Macaca mulatta: one gene and its partners. The main gene of each other region encodes a partner of the protein of the gene in region 3 in a complex. Links are inferred from orthologs where the notes say so. Each region holds a gene or a part of one and is shown on either strand. Other genes may lie near its edges.

Region 1 (5,146 bases), about 16 Mb from region 3:
CAGCTACTCGGGAGGCTGAGGCAGGAGAATGGCATGAACCCGGGAGGCGGAGCTTGCAGTGAGCTGAGATCCGGCCACTGCACTCCAGCCTGGGTGACAGAGCGAGACTCCGTCTCAAAAAAAAAAAAAAAAAAAAAAAAAAAATAGAAAATTAGGCCAGGCACAGTGGCTCATGCCTATAATCCCAGCACTTTGGGAGGCCGACGCAGGCGGATCATGAGGTCAGGAGATCGAGACCATCCTGGTTAACACAGTGAAACCCCGTCTCTACTAAAAATACAAAAAATTAGCTGGGTGTGGTGGCAGGCACCTGTGGTCCTAGCTACTCAGGAGGCTGAGGCAGGAGAATGGCATGAACCCGGGAGGTGGAGCTTGCAGTGAGTCGAGATTGTGCCACTGCACTCCAGCCTGGGTGACAGAGCAAGAGTCTGTCTCAAAAAAAAAAAGAAAAAAAAAAATTAGCCAGGCGTGGTGGTGCATGCCTGTAATCCCAGCTACTTGGGAAGCTGAGGCAGTAGAATCACTTGAACGTGGGAGGTGGAGGTTGCAGTGAGCTGAGATCATGGCAGTACTACACTTGAGCCTGGGCAACAAGAGCGAAACTCTTGTCTCAAAAAAACAAAAAAAAATTTAACAAAAGGAGATTGTAGACAAATATCTTGGAAAGATGTTAATGATAGATGAATAGGAAAAAAGGGTTATAAAGCAGTATATATGGAATCTTCTCTATAAAATAAACACATTTCATATACATAAATTTATAAAAAGTAAAGACTAGAAGGATAAATACCAAAATAGAACTAGTACTCTCTTTGGATAATAGGTGTTATTTTTTATCTGTACCGTATTTTATAAGTTTTCAACAATAAATGTGCTACTTTTATGACAGGTGAAAACTCTCATCCTCATCTCTACCATAATTAAAACTAGGAACTGTCATTTTTTTGCTTCAACTGGTAATGAATCCACCCCAAATTTACAGGGTAAAGGAATAAAGAATCAGAATTACACAGACATTTCTCTTCATTGGCTTTATTACCATATAACACAAGCTCACAGCCTCTAATGTTACAAACCTTATACACAAATGGCCAAACAAGAAATTTTCCTTTCCAAAAGCTAATTTATTCCGGTTTCCCCTCTTTATTTTTATTTTTATTTTTGAGACAGAGTTTTGCTCTTCTCACCCAGGCTGGAGTGCAATAGTGTCATCTCTGGTCACTGCAACCTTCACCTCCTGGATTCAAGCAATTCTCCAGCCTCAGCCTCCTAAGTAGCTGGGATTACAGGCGCCCGCCACCATGCCCGGCTAAATTTTGTATTTTTCGTAGAGATGGGGTTTCACCATGTTGGCCAGGTTGGTCTCAAACTCCCGACCTCGGGTGATCCACCCACCCCGGCCTCCCAAAGCGCTGGGATTAGAGGTGTGAGCCACCGCGCTTGGCCTGGTTTCCCCTTTTAATAATACAGTGGGATTAGATAGATTCTCCGTGACATCCTGAGCCTTTAATGTAGAAAGGCTGTCATGAAAGTGAAATCACCACATAAGAACAGTGCAAAGAACCAATTAATTCTCACCATCCTCTCCCTGAAGGAAGAATGCCTGCCTGGCAATGGTGAAATGGGGCATTTAAAACATATTTTTTTGGCCGGGCATGGTGGCTCATGCCTGTAATCCCAGCACTTTGGGAGGCCAAGGTGGGTGGATCACAAGGTCAGGAGTTTGAGAATAGCCTGACCCACATGGTGAATCCCCATCTCTACTAAAAATACAAAAATTAGCTGAGCATGGTGGTGGGTGCCTGTAATCCCAGCTACTCAGGAGGCTGAGGCAGAACTGCTTGAACCCGGGAGGCAGAGGTTGCAGTGAGTCAAGATCGTGTCACTGCACTCCAGCCTGGGAAACAGAGCGAGACTCTGTCTCAAAAACAAAATAAAACAAAAACCAAAAAAAAAGCAAACATTTTTTCAAGCAAGTAAGGACAGGCCCCAAATGTGGACAGATCCTCTTAGTCACATGAGCCTCTTGGGGTCTATTTTCTCTAGGTGAACCAGAGGTTTTAGCTGCTCTGCAAAGTTCTTCATGTCATCAGAGACCACATCCTGCCCAGCGGGTGCTACCACACTTAATTCCACGAGATAGGAGAGTGACAAGGCCTCAGTGCTGTCTGTGTTCCCTGGCACCAGGATGCGGAAAATCTTGTACACCATAATCTTCATGATGCCCTTACGGAACAAATGTCCCTTAGCAACAAACTCATGGTCCATGCGGAAGCCCATTTCCATCAAGAAGTCGGTGAGGTTCTCAGATGTGGCAATGTCCACGCAGTTTCGCACCAGGGCGTGGCGATTCTTGTCTCCCATTTCTGGCTGTCCCAGGTAGCGCAGATGCCAGGGTGCTCCTGCCCTGTCCATAGAGCGTCGGGCCCTGAGAACAAATGGGCTGGCTTGCTGGCCCTTAAGAAGGAATACCATCTCATGGTCAAGGAAAGTCTCAGGTTCCATGTTGTCACACAAACCACGAAGGCGGTGGATGAGGCTTTCCAAACTGTGATCTAAAACACTTCCTGAAAACGGAACAAGCACCACTGAGTCCTATCTTTCATTTTAGGTCATGGAGTTAGCATACAATTGAAAAAACTTAATGAAAAACCAAAACAGTTTAGTGAAGCATTTCATAAAACATAGGGCCAAACATGAGATTTTAGAGAAGTTGCACTACCAAGGTATTGTATAACGTTGTGAGAAAGTTATTTCCCTTTTCAATTTTTTGGAATTTTCTTATTTAACACTACAATGTCTTTAGGCCTCCTCTAATGCTAATCTCCAGCAGGCCTTGGGCTTAGAGCCTTTAATCAGCAACAGGGTCTATCTAGAATGTAATAATACTGTTTTAATTATGTATTTATTTATTTTGGTAGAGATGGGGTCTTACTATGTTGCCCAGGTTGGTCTTGAACTCCTGGCCTTGGTCTCCCAAAGTGTTGGGATTACAGGCACAAGCCACCATGCCCAGCCAATAACACTATTTTGTTGTCATATAGTTTAACAATTGCCTTCTATTTCCAACAAATCAAACTTTTCCATTTATAGAAATATAAAGTTTCACCCCCTTTTTCTGAGACGGAGTCTAGCTGTGTCTCCAGGCTGGAGTGCAGTGCTGCGATCTCAGCTCACTGCAACCCCCGCCTCCTGGGTTCAAGCGATTCTCCTGCCTCAGCCTCCTGAGTAGCTGGACTACAGGTGTGCGCCACCATGCCCAGCTAATTTTTGGATTTTTAGTAGAGACAGGGTTTCACCACATTGGCCAGGATGGTCTTGATCTCTTGACCTCATGATCCGCCCTTCTCAGCCTCTCAAAGTGCTGAGATGACAGGCGTGGAGCCACCGCACCCAGCTAAAGTTTCCTTTTTATCAGGAAAAGTTTTCCTCTTCTATATGTAAGTAGAAGAGAGTGAATTGCTTCATAGAATCTTCATCCTCTTGGCAACATCTGACACAGTTGTTATAGTAGCTTATACCCACTATGAAATCTATTCTTCCCTTGGCCTCTGAGACACAACTTTCTTGGTTCTTCACTTAACTTGCTGAACAGCCCGTTTAAGTCTTCTTTGCTTGGTCTCTCTCAACTTCCCTAAACACTGGAGGACTAGGACTCAATGCTGGTCCTCTTCTGTATCAATACTCTTTTCCTGCCTAGGTGACTTTATTTGGTCCCATGGCTTTAAATATCATTTAGGCCCTGAGGACTCCCACATTTTTATCTCTGGACCACAGAAGAAAACATCCAACTGACTACTCAATTTCCTCACTTGGATGCCTAACAGACATCTTTATCTTAACACGTTCAATATCAAACTGTTGATTTTTTCCTCCAAAATCTTATTCATCCTGCAGTCTTAACCATCACAGTAAATGGCAACTCTCTGCTTCTAGTTGGTTACCCGGGCCAAAAACCGGAAAATCATCTTTCACTTCTTTCTTTCTCCCACACCCTCCATTTAATCCGTATTTTTGAAACAAATGCAGAATGCAATCACTTCTCGCTCCTCTGGTCACTTCAACCTATAGTCCCTTCAAATGAAGTCACCCTCATTTCTTGCCTGGTCTTTGCAAATAGCCTGTTTCTACCTTTGCCTTCTTCCTCTCTTCTCCACACAAAAGCCAAATGATCTATTATATTATTGGGCAGATAATAACACTCCTCTACTCAGAACACTCCAGTGGCTTCCTGTGTCACTCAGAATAAAAGCCAACGTCTAACACTTCTCTACTCAGAACACTCCAGTGGCTTCCTGTGTCACTCAGAATAAAAGCCAACGTCTTTACCATTGTTGACAAAGCCCTACATATTATGGTCTCTGCTACCTGCCAAACAACATCTCCTTCTATTCTTCCCCTTGATCATTATCTTCAGGAGTGACCTTCCTGCCAGACCCCTTCCCCTATTCTCTATGCTTAGGATGTTCTTCCGATCTGCATGTCTACTCTATCACTTTTATCAGGTCTGCTCAAGTGACTTTATCATCAGGGCCTTTTCTGATCACCCTAATAAAATAGTATGTGTCCTACCAATCTCTAGCCACTTTCCTGCTTTATTTTTATGGCATAGATTTGTTGTTGTTGTTGTTGTTGTTTAGATAGGGTCTCACTCTGTCTCCAGGCTATAGAGCAGTGGCGAGATTATAACTCTTTGCAGCCCCCATCTTGGGGGTTCAAGTGATCCTCCCACCTCAGCCTCCCAAGTAGTTCGGACTACAGGTACATACCACCATGCCCAGCTAAGTTTTCTTTATTTTTAGTAGAGGTGAGTTCTTGCTATGTTGTCCAGACTGATCCTGAATTCCTGAACTCAAGCAATACTGCAGCCTTAGCCTCCCAAACGACTGGAATTACAGTCATAAGCCTGTAATAGCTGGCTTGACATACATTATTTTTTAGTCATCTTTCTCCCTCCATGGCTATGGCTCAAATGTTTGGAACATATTCAGATACTTGTTGACAAAATCTGGCCTGGCGCAGTGGCTCACGCCTGTAATCCCAGCACTTTGGGAGACCAAGGCAGGTGGATCACCTGAGGTCAGGAGTTCAAGACCAGCCTGGCCAACGTGGAGAAACCCCGTCTCTACTAAAAATACAAACATTA
Region 2 (4,501 bases), on a different chromosome or scaffold from region 3:
TATTTAAAAACAAATTAATAAATATTTTTAAACTTTATTTTACTAATAGAATAAATATCCATAGATATAATCCATATAAACAGAAACTCTTTGGGAATTTCAATTTTAAGAGTGTAAAGCAGTCTTGAGACCAAAAAGCTTAAAGAATTACTACTTTAAAATTATGGAAGATAACTGAAAACTGATGCTCAACCCAGTTATTAATAGAATGATGTTACACAAAAGAGCTTCCATAAATGAATGAAATAGTGAAGATATCAAAACAACTGGCTTTTTTTGAACAAATGAAAAGTATCTTTTTAGTATGTTATACCCATAGTAATTAGTAGAATCACGGCACACTTTAATTCATCTGTTTTTGTTTGTTTGTAGTCACATAGTCACCGTACCTGTAACATGAGTTGCTCTAGCCAAGGTCAATATCAAGGCTCGGTTCAGTTCTTCAGATTCTGCTGAGAGCACTGTTTTGGGATCACTAAGGAAGCGTGTAAACTGCGGTTGTACCTCTGAGCTACCTAATGCTGTTATAAGCCTGAGAGCAGTGCTCTCGACACTGAAAAGTGGGAGAAAAAAAAGAAATGTAAAAAAATTTCAGAATTATAGAATTAAATCTAATTCTAAGGTTAATTACACTGGAAAAACATGCAATCTATATGACTATCCCTTCTTTAATTAAAAAAACACTTGTGTGTGAGAATAAATGTTGCTTAATTTGTTTAAAAAACCTAATGTGTCCAATTTTATAGTGAAAATCTTGACATTTTTACACATTTGAAAAAGATGACTTGTCGCCTATAGGACTAAAAAATTTCACCTGGAGATACTGCATTTCAAAAATTATATTTTTCTATCTAAAATATATTTTAATTTAAAGCAAAATCAATGTGACATGATACTTTAACCATAATCTGAAGTATACTTAAAAACAGCATTCTAAAGGGCTAAGTTACAACATAATAATAAATACCCTGAAAGTACTAATTCTCAGTCCAAAGATCCTGAAGCAAGAACTCAACTATCTTAATCAGTTTCTATTTAAAAAGCTGGACTCTGCTCCTATAATGGAAACAAAATACTTTAGAAGCAGAGAAGTTTTATGACAGATGAATTAAAAAAAAAAAAAAAAAACCTATAAGGCAAAGGATTAAGAACCTCATCTCCAAGAAAGTTTCTAGTAAATCTTAAGGAAAGATGGCCTTCAATGAGCTCACCAAAGATGGAGCTGGTTCTGGTTTGTTTGTGCAACTGCAGCCAAAGTATGAAGATGACTCAGGAGCTGAACTCGGTAATGAGGCTGAATATGATGCATCCGGTAGCTAAACATCTCAAGGAGTGTATGTAAGATCCCCCATGCATGTGATTTGAAAACAGTTGGCAAAAGCTGACCTGGAGGAAAAAGACAATTTAAGGTACCAATTAGTAAAGGCTATGCATTAAAAGATAGTTGAAGAAAGTCACATTGAGTGAATCAAATAAAGATTTGATTGCGAAAATACACACGCACACACATATATATTCTCCACATTTTCTTATTTTCTACTTTAACAGTAAGGAAAAATTCAGATCCTAACTATAATATCAATTATTTTTTCCTGGGACTTGGCAAGTGATAATCATGTTTATCTGGAAAAACAAAATGAGACAAGATACGAAAAAGCATTAATCTTCTCAATTCTGGTATCTTTTATTTTTAGACAGTTAATGTTCCATACCTTTTGAAGTATGAGGTTCACTTTTTAATACAAAAAACTGTATTTTTACACCTGCCCTTGTTTCCTCCTACCCCCGAGAAAGTTTTATTCAACAATCAGTTATCTAGGAAGACTTACTATGGTTAAAATTAAAACTATGCTGTATTCATGAAAAGCTGGAATTATGATGAATCAGAAAAACACTTCTATATTAGAAAGTATCTATTATTTTAGAACTACATAATAAATAACAGACATTATAATGTATTTTCTGCAATCTAAGAGAATTCCTTCTTTACTGCCAGTCAGCCTTTTGTATGCACTGGAGGACAGCATTACTGCCTCAGGCAGAATCCATTTGCATGAGGACAGGGACCATGTCTATCCTGCTCACCACATCCCAGGCACCTAGCACATTAACCTTTTCTTACCACTTTACCTAAAAATGCAACAAACCCCCCCTCCCACCCTCAAACTTCCTATTCCTTTTTGCTTTATTTTTCTCTATAACATGTATCACCTGACATATTATATATTTCATTTATTTAACGTCCCCCTCCATAAGCTCCATCATGGTGGTGACTTGTTCTCTGCTGTGTCCCCGGAACTAGAAAAGTACCTTTAGAGTTAATGAATGGATTAATAGTTATAAACACCAGAAAGTCCTGTCTTACTGATAAATCCTTTGATGCCCAAAGACTCTATTTCCATATAGACCAATAAACGACTGTAAGTTTCCACTAGGGCTGGAGCCAAGGCCACACTGGACTTTGCATGAGCAAGTTTTATCACCCTGGTTGCAATGCTGTGAATAAGGCTGAGGAGAAAAAAAGGGAAGAAAATAAAAATCCATATTTTTGACATAAACATAGGCGCTACTCTACTTAGAAGTAACTTAGTATAATTTGAACTTAAATGATTCAAATGAAGTTGATTCATTTAATGTGTCTAAATTGTGCAGGACACTTGGTAAGGATGCACTGCACAACCTGAGACTCATTCCGATTTCCATGGTGCTTTCAATATGCACACGGATCCCCCTGCTCATGGGAAAACAAACTTTGGGTTCAACTTATAAGAGCAAGCTTGAGAGATTTTGGTTACTCCAATGATGCATCAAAATACATTTGGGAAATTAAATAACTTCTGTCACAGATTTACTTTAACACATCATAGCTAAGACCCAAATGTTAGGTTCTAATGAGGCTTTGCTCAAATCTGTTATACATGCAAGTGAAGCACATGTGTAATTCTATCACAATGGTTACCACTTGAAAAAGAGCATAGCTCTACCAGAACTGATGCTCCACTTGGAGGCCCACAGACAAATTCTCTTAGGCCTATACGGTGGTTGTTTTAAATTTGAGCCAATACTTAAAGGCTGAAAGACTAGTAATAAAAAATCTGGATTTCTAGCCCTTCTCAAAAACGTTGGAAGCTCTAGCTACACTAGTCCTCCTTCTTACTATCTACAAAAAACGAAAAAAAAAAAAGTGCAAAAAATTTTTATAATGCTTATCTCTCATGGAGAGATTATGACAATTACTTTCTTTGGGTTTGTTTATCCTAGAATTCCTATAATAAAAAATATTTACTTTTGTAATAAAATAAAGCTATTTTTTTCCCTAAATGTACCTGACTATGAAAAATTACACACATAAAACCATGAAATAAAGGTTTATACTATACTCGTATCAATTCCCTGACATGGAATCAAATTAATAAAAAGAACATACCTCATTTTGGCATGAACTGTCAGTGAATCCAGGAGGTTCATGGGTAAGGGGGTAATAGATCCTGAAGCCATACAGTTTGTTCCAGGGAGAGGTATCCTCATAATTCCATTTCCATAAATAGTTTCTACCAGAGCTCCCATGGGTAATGTAAAACATTCTGAATTTGTAGAGTATGCATTACACAATAGAGCAATCTTATAGTCATTCATCTGTAAACTTTTATTTCTCAGACTCTGCTGCAGGAACCTAAAAATTCATGTTCCATTAAAAAGAAAAAACGAAAATTACTTCCATAATGTTAATTTGTATTTTTTTAAAAGTTCAATTTTATGCAATTATTTATTAATGCTATCTTTGTTCCTATACGTATTCGAGTTTCTGTGTGAAACGTATAGTGGGAATACACATAGAAGTTGAGGTAGTGTTTCAGAAGAAAAATAATTTTAAATAAACAATTAATGGGTATCTGTTAAGTATGCACTACATATACAGCCACCATATTAGGCTAAGTTTCAGAGACCGAAGAAATAACTCACAAGTCTGTGAACCAGGTTTCTACTTATTATCTGTCTGTATAAACACAACAATGTCTTCATTACAGATATCACTTTGAAAAGGTGGTTAAGGGGTATCTCATAAAATGAAAACCAAATGAAATATCAAGTCTGACTCCCCTGCCATATCCTATGAAGAGATGTGACAGTCTTTTTCAGAAGTTCTAGGTGGGAAGTTAGGCTATTCCTAGCACCCTTGACTACAATACAATACAATACTATCTAAGAATGGTATCTTCTTTGAGTCATCACAACTTTGGAAGAGATATTAAGGGGCATGCCAGCCAGATCAGCTCAATCATTCCTGGCAGCCCACAGATGAATATCTCAGTCAGCTCATGCTCAAGTTCCAAGCACTTGAGAAATTCTGAAACATTTTTACATTTATGAAACTTGATATGCTTTCATTATATTAATAACTTTATAACATATTCAACTGAAGATCAGCCTTGAAAAATTTTTTGTAAAAATCTATACATAAAAGCAAGACTAATCTTGTAGCTGTTTCCTGATATAGGTG
Region 3 (4,228 bases):
AGCTAATTTGTTTGGTTTTTAACCACTGAATCTCTAATAACAAGAGTATGTTGCCAGTTCTTGATTTTTCTGTTTTGAGTATTACCTACTGACTTTCTTCAATGGAAGATGAATATTTAATACTCTGTCACACTCACCACTCCTCTACCATAGCCATGCAATCTATCCTCCAATTCTCCTAATATAGTTAGAGCAATATTGAATCTATATACCATGACCATAGAAACACTATTCATAGATACCATGATTACTAGTTTTTCACTGCATGTTTTGTTTTTCCTGAAGTCAGTAAAAGTCTTGCTTTTTACTTTCCTTAGTTTTTTGTGTATTTGTCACTAATTCAACCCTAAACTCTTCTCCAGTTGTATAAATCGTTCTCCATATATTCAGACATGTTAGATTGTCTGTCAGCTTCATTTTCTTGAAGAACTCTCTTTGGGAGCCTCTGCATGCTCTCCTTGGGTGGTTTGCTCTCTGTGTAGCCAAACATCTGTGGTCTTGAAGTCCCTGTCACCATCCTCTTGTGGTATATCTCATTTCCTGGGCCCCATATTTTTTTACTTCTTCATTTAATGGAACACATCTTGTACTAATTTCCTGAGAAAGGATACATGAGAAGTAATTTTTTGAGAACATACCTGAAAATGTCTTTATTCTGATTTCACACTTAATTGATAGTCTGGCTGCGTATGGAATTCTAGGTTGGAAATCATTTTTCCTCAGTATTTTGAGGGTACTGTCCCCATTGTATTCTAGGCTTTTGGTGTTCTGCTTGAGGAGTCTTAATGCTGTTCTGATTTTTAATTATTTATATAAAGTCTGTTTGTTGTTCTCTCTAGAAATTTGAAATTTCACGATAATGTACCTTGATGGAGAGCTATTTTCATACTGTGCTGGACACTCAGAGGACCCTTTTAAGCACAAAAAACTCAAAACCTTTAGTTCGGGGACAGCTTTATTGAGTTATTCTTTTCAGCATTTTCGCCTTTTCATTTTTTCCCCTTATTCTTTCTTTCTAGAACTCCCATATTCAGAAGTCATGTTTTCTGGACTTGTCCTTTAATCTTTTAAAAATATTTTCTTAATCGTTTTCCATCTCTATCTTTTTGTTCTATATTGTGAGAAATTTCCTTAACTTTTCCAATTCCTTTTCCAGCCCTTTTTATTTCTGCTATTATGTGTTTCATTTTCCAGGGTAACTTTTTTCTTTTTGTTCACCAAATATATTTTTTATGATATCCTCTACCTGTTTCATGAGTAAAATGTCTTCTCTCTGAGGAGTTTAATGATTTTTTTTTCCTGAGTTTTCATCCCCCTGAGTCTCTTCAGTTTTTCAATGTTGCATTTAGATTTCATTTGTTTTGGTCTCCTGTCTTTATATAAAATACTTTCCTCTAATGCCTCATGATCTTGGCTGCCTGCTCATGTTTAGAAACCGGGAATCTTGTTTTCAGTATCATCTTCATTCCCTCTACTAGTGGTACCTGATGCTGCCAGTGATTGAGTCTTTGGGGAGTTCTGTGATATATTTCACGTTCAGTTCAACTTTTCCCACTACCAGCACAGGATTCAGCTTTCCTGAGTTTGCTGACTTCCACTTGTCTACTTGGTTTCCAGTTTTGTGTCTCTTCTGTCTTTGTCCTGGGTGCTTCTGCTTTACAATGAACATGCAGTCGTTTCTGTCACTTGGGGAGATTTGAAAGGGGAGTAATCTAAATCAGGTCAGCAAACTCTGGTTCCTATGCCAGATCTATCCAAGAGCTTATTTTTGTGTGGTCTGGCTTAAAAATGATTTTTGTGTTTTTAGGCCAGGTGCAGTGGCTCATGCCTGTAATCCCAGCATTTTAGGAGACTTTGGGAGGCAGGCAGATCATTTGAGTCCAGGAATTTGAAACCAGCCTGGGCAACATGGTGAAACCCCCACTCTACTAAAAACACAAAAAATTAACCGGGCGTGGTGGCACACACCTGCAATCCCAGCTACTAGGGAGGCTGAGGCACGAGAATCACTTGAACCCAGGAGGCAGAGGTTGCAGTGAGCTGAGATCACGATGCTGCACTCCAGCCTGGGTGGCAGAGCAAGGCTGTCTCAAAAAAGAAAACAAAACAAACAAACAAACAAACAAATTTTTACATTTTTAAAGGGTTGCTGAGCAAAACAGAACAAAAGCACAGAAGGATATGTGACAGGCTATGGCCCACAACGCCTAACATATTTACTGTCCACTTACAGAGAAAGTCGTTCAGCCCCAATTGAAATCTCCTATTTCAAACTGGAAAACTAGTTCCTTCCCTCCCAATGCCCACAGCCAGTGATCACCTCCCATTTCATAGAGAAAACCAATCTACTGGACAATCTATTCCTTACTCTCCCATCCCTATACCAAACCACTGCGGTTTGCAGGTTACCCATAATACTTCATTAAGTCAAACTGCAATGAATGTCAGAGGTCATTGAAAACCTCCTTGTTAGTGAATTCAACCCCTATTTTTTCAGTCTGTATTTTACTGGCTGCTCTATGACATTTGATAACGTGTGGCTTCCATTCTCACGGAGTCAACTGAGCCTGCTCTTCCTGAGATTGCCAGTAGCATCCTAATTGCCAAACCCAGAGAATGCTTTCCACACCTTATCTTCTTCTTTCTTTTGCTACATTTAACATTATTACTGCCCATCTATTTCTGGAATATTTCTACTCCCTTATATTCTGTGATAGTATTTTCTCTTAGTCCTCACCATCCCACACCCGATCAGTTTCCCAATCCTGTCCGTTCTCCCTTTGAATTTCATCCCACCCCCCACAGCCTCATGTGAGACCCTCATCATCTGTCACCTGGCTTACCACAAAGCTCTCCTGCTAGGTCTTAGCCTCCTTGCGCTCTTTCACACTGCCACTAGAATGGTTTTTCTGAAGCAAAAATCTGTTGATATCATTGATTTTCTGAAAAATTTATAGTCTTTTTCTCTGCTCTGTCTGCTTCTACTCAATAAAATCCAAACTCCTAACTTGGTATTCAAAACCCCATCTGGTCTGCTTTTCTGCCTTATTTTCACTGTGTTTCTCCCTCTCTATATTCCTCCCCACTTATCAGTCCCCCTTTTACTTCAGCCACACTGTCATCAACAGTGATGATGCTGATGAGAAAAACACTAACAGCAGCATGTATTGAGGACGTAACTACATGCCAGGCACTGTGTTCACTGCTTAATGTTAATTTGGTCATCTAATCCTCGTGACATGGCCTTATGAGGTGGGTTCTATTAATGGTCCACCAATATGGCACATATGAACTTGAAACATCTTTAAACATTTTTTTTAAAAGGTAAGTGTCAGAATTCATTTGGCAGTAAAATCTGACCTGAAATGGTATGAATGTATTTATAGTTCCTTCTAGCGTAAAGATTCATTTCATAGAAGAAATATTAACATTTAATTACAGGATGCTGCCCCAAACCTCATAGGGGGATGTTAAATAATATATGGTTTGTGCAGTATACTGCTTTCCTAAAATCTGAACACTTTGAGATTCTAATACTATCTAGTTTGAGGGGGCTCAAATAAGAGATTTTGATCTTTGTATTACTCTTTTTACAGATGAGGAAATTAAGGCTCAGCAAGATTAAGTAGTTTGCCCAAAGTTACGTAGTGGAAAAAACAGCGGAGCCCGGATTAGCACCATGGTGGCCTGGTTCAAACGCATACCTTGTCTGCTGTGCTGCACAGGTCCATGCCACCTGCAGGTCCCTGCCCTCGACCTCTTCTGGGTTGCTGGCTTTCTGCTTTCCCTGTTCTTCCAGTGCTCAGCCCTGGCTGACTTCCCTTCCATTCCTATTCACCCAGGCTGGCTTCTTTCAGTAGCAGCCTCCATGCCTTTACCCCCTTGTCCTCCTGAAAATGTCCCACTGATACCAAGCTCTGACCAGGTCTGCCCATCTGTCTCTGATTGGGCGGTCTTTCATTTGAGACTCGATAGAAAGGCGAACCACACTCCTCTCCCAGTTTCAGACTGTGCCCTATTTAGTACTTGGCAATATTGCCTTTTCCATTTCCTTTATCAGCTTCCTTTCCTGTTTCTAGAGCAGCTGTACTAAAACTTTTCCTATACCCCTGAGCTCCAAAGCTTATCCATACCATCTTACTCTCAGTTTCAGCAGCACATGCCTAGTTCCATTTTCATTCCACCTGCTTGAGTCGTACACACAGGGGTTTGTAAGAACTGTCACCTT

What was found. The genes of interacting proteins can lie anywhere in the genome.
Region 1: MED8 (region 3) and MED18 share a complex: the UniProt entries of both Homo sapiens proteins name them as parts of the mediator complex. The link is inferred for Macaca mulatta from reciprocal best matches to the Homo sapiens genes MED8 and MED18.
Region 2: MED8 (region 3) and MED23 share a complex: the UniProt entries of both Homo sapiens proteins name them as parts of the mediator complex. The link is inferred for Macaca mulatta from reciprocal best matches to the Homo sapiens genes MED8 and MED23.

What each region holds. Positions count from the first base shown.
Region 1 is NC_133406.1:212,596,814-212,601,959, forward strand, and holds the end of MED18 (mediator of RNA polymerase II transcription subunit 18), read right to left. Parts: intron 2,568-5,146; coding exon 2,014-2,567; 3' UTR 1,278-2,013; coding exon of another isoform or gene 1,262-1,277; 3' UTR 1,017-1,261; downstream 1-1,016. UniProt on the Homo sapiens protein: Component of the Mediator complex, a coactivator involved in the regulated transcription of nearly all RNA polymerase II-dependent genes.
Region 2 is NC_133409.1:36,639,157-36,643,657, forward strand, and holds part of MED23 (mediator of RNA polymerase II transcription subunit 23), read right to left. Parts: intron 3,674-4,501; coding exon 3,428-3,673; intron 2,509-3,427; coding exon 2,366-2,508; intron 1,387-2,365; coding exon 1,212-1,386; intron 554-1,211; coding exon 390-553; intron 1-389. UniProt on the Homo sapiens protein: Required for transcriptional activation subsequent to the assembly of the pre-initiation complex. Component of the Mediator complex, a coactivator involved in the regulated transcription of nearly all RNA polymerase II-dependent genes.
Region 3 is NC_133406.1:196,876,004-196,880,231, reverse strand, and holds the start of MED8 (mediator of RNA polymerase II transcription subunit 8), read right to left. Parts: upstream 2,801-4,228; 5' UTR 2,797-2,800; intron 1-2,796. UniProt on the Homo sapiens protein: Component of the Mediator complex, a coactivator involved in the regulated transcription of nearly all RNA polymerase II-dependent genes.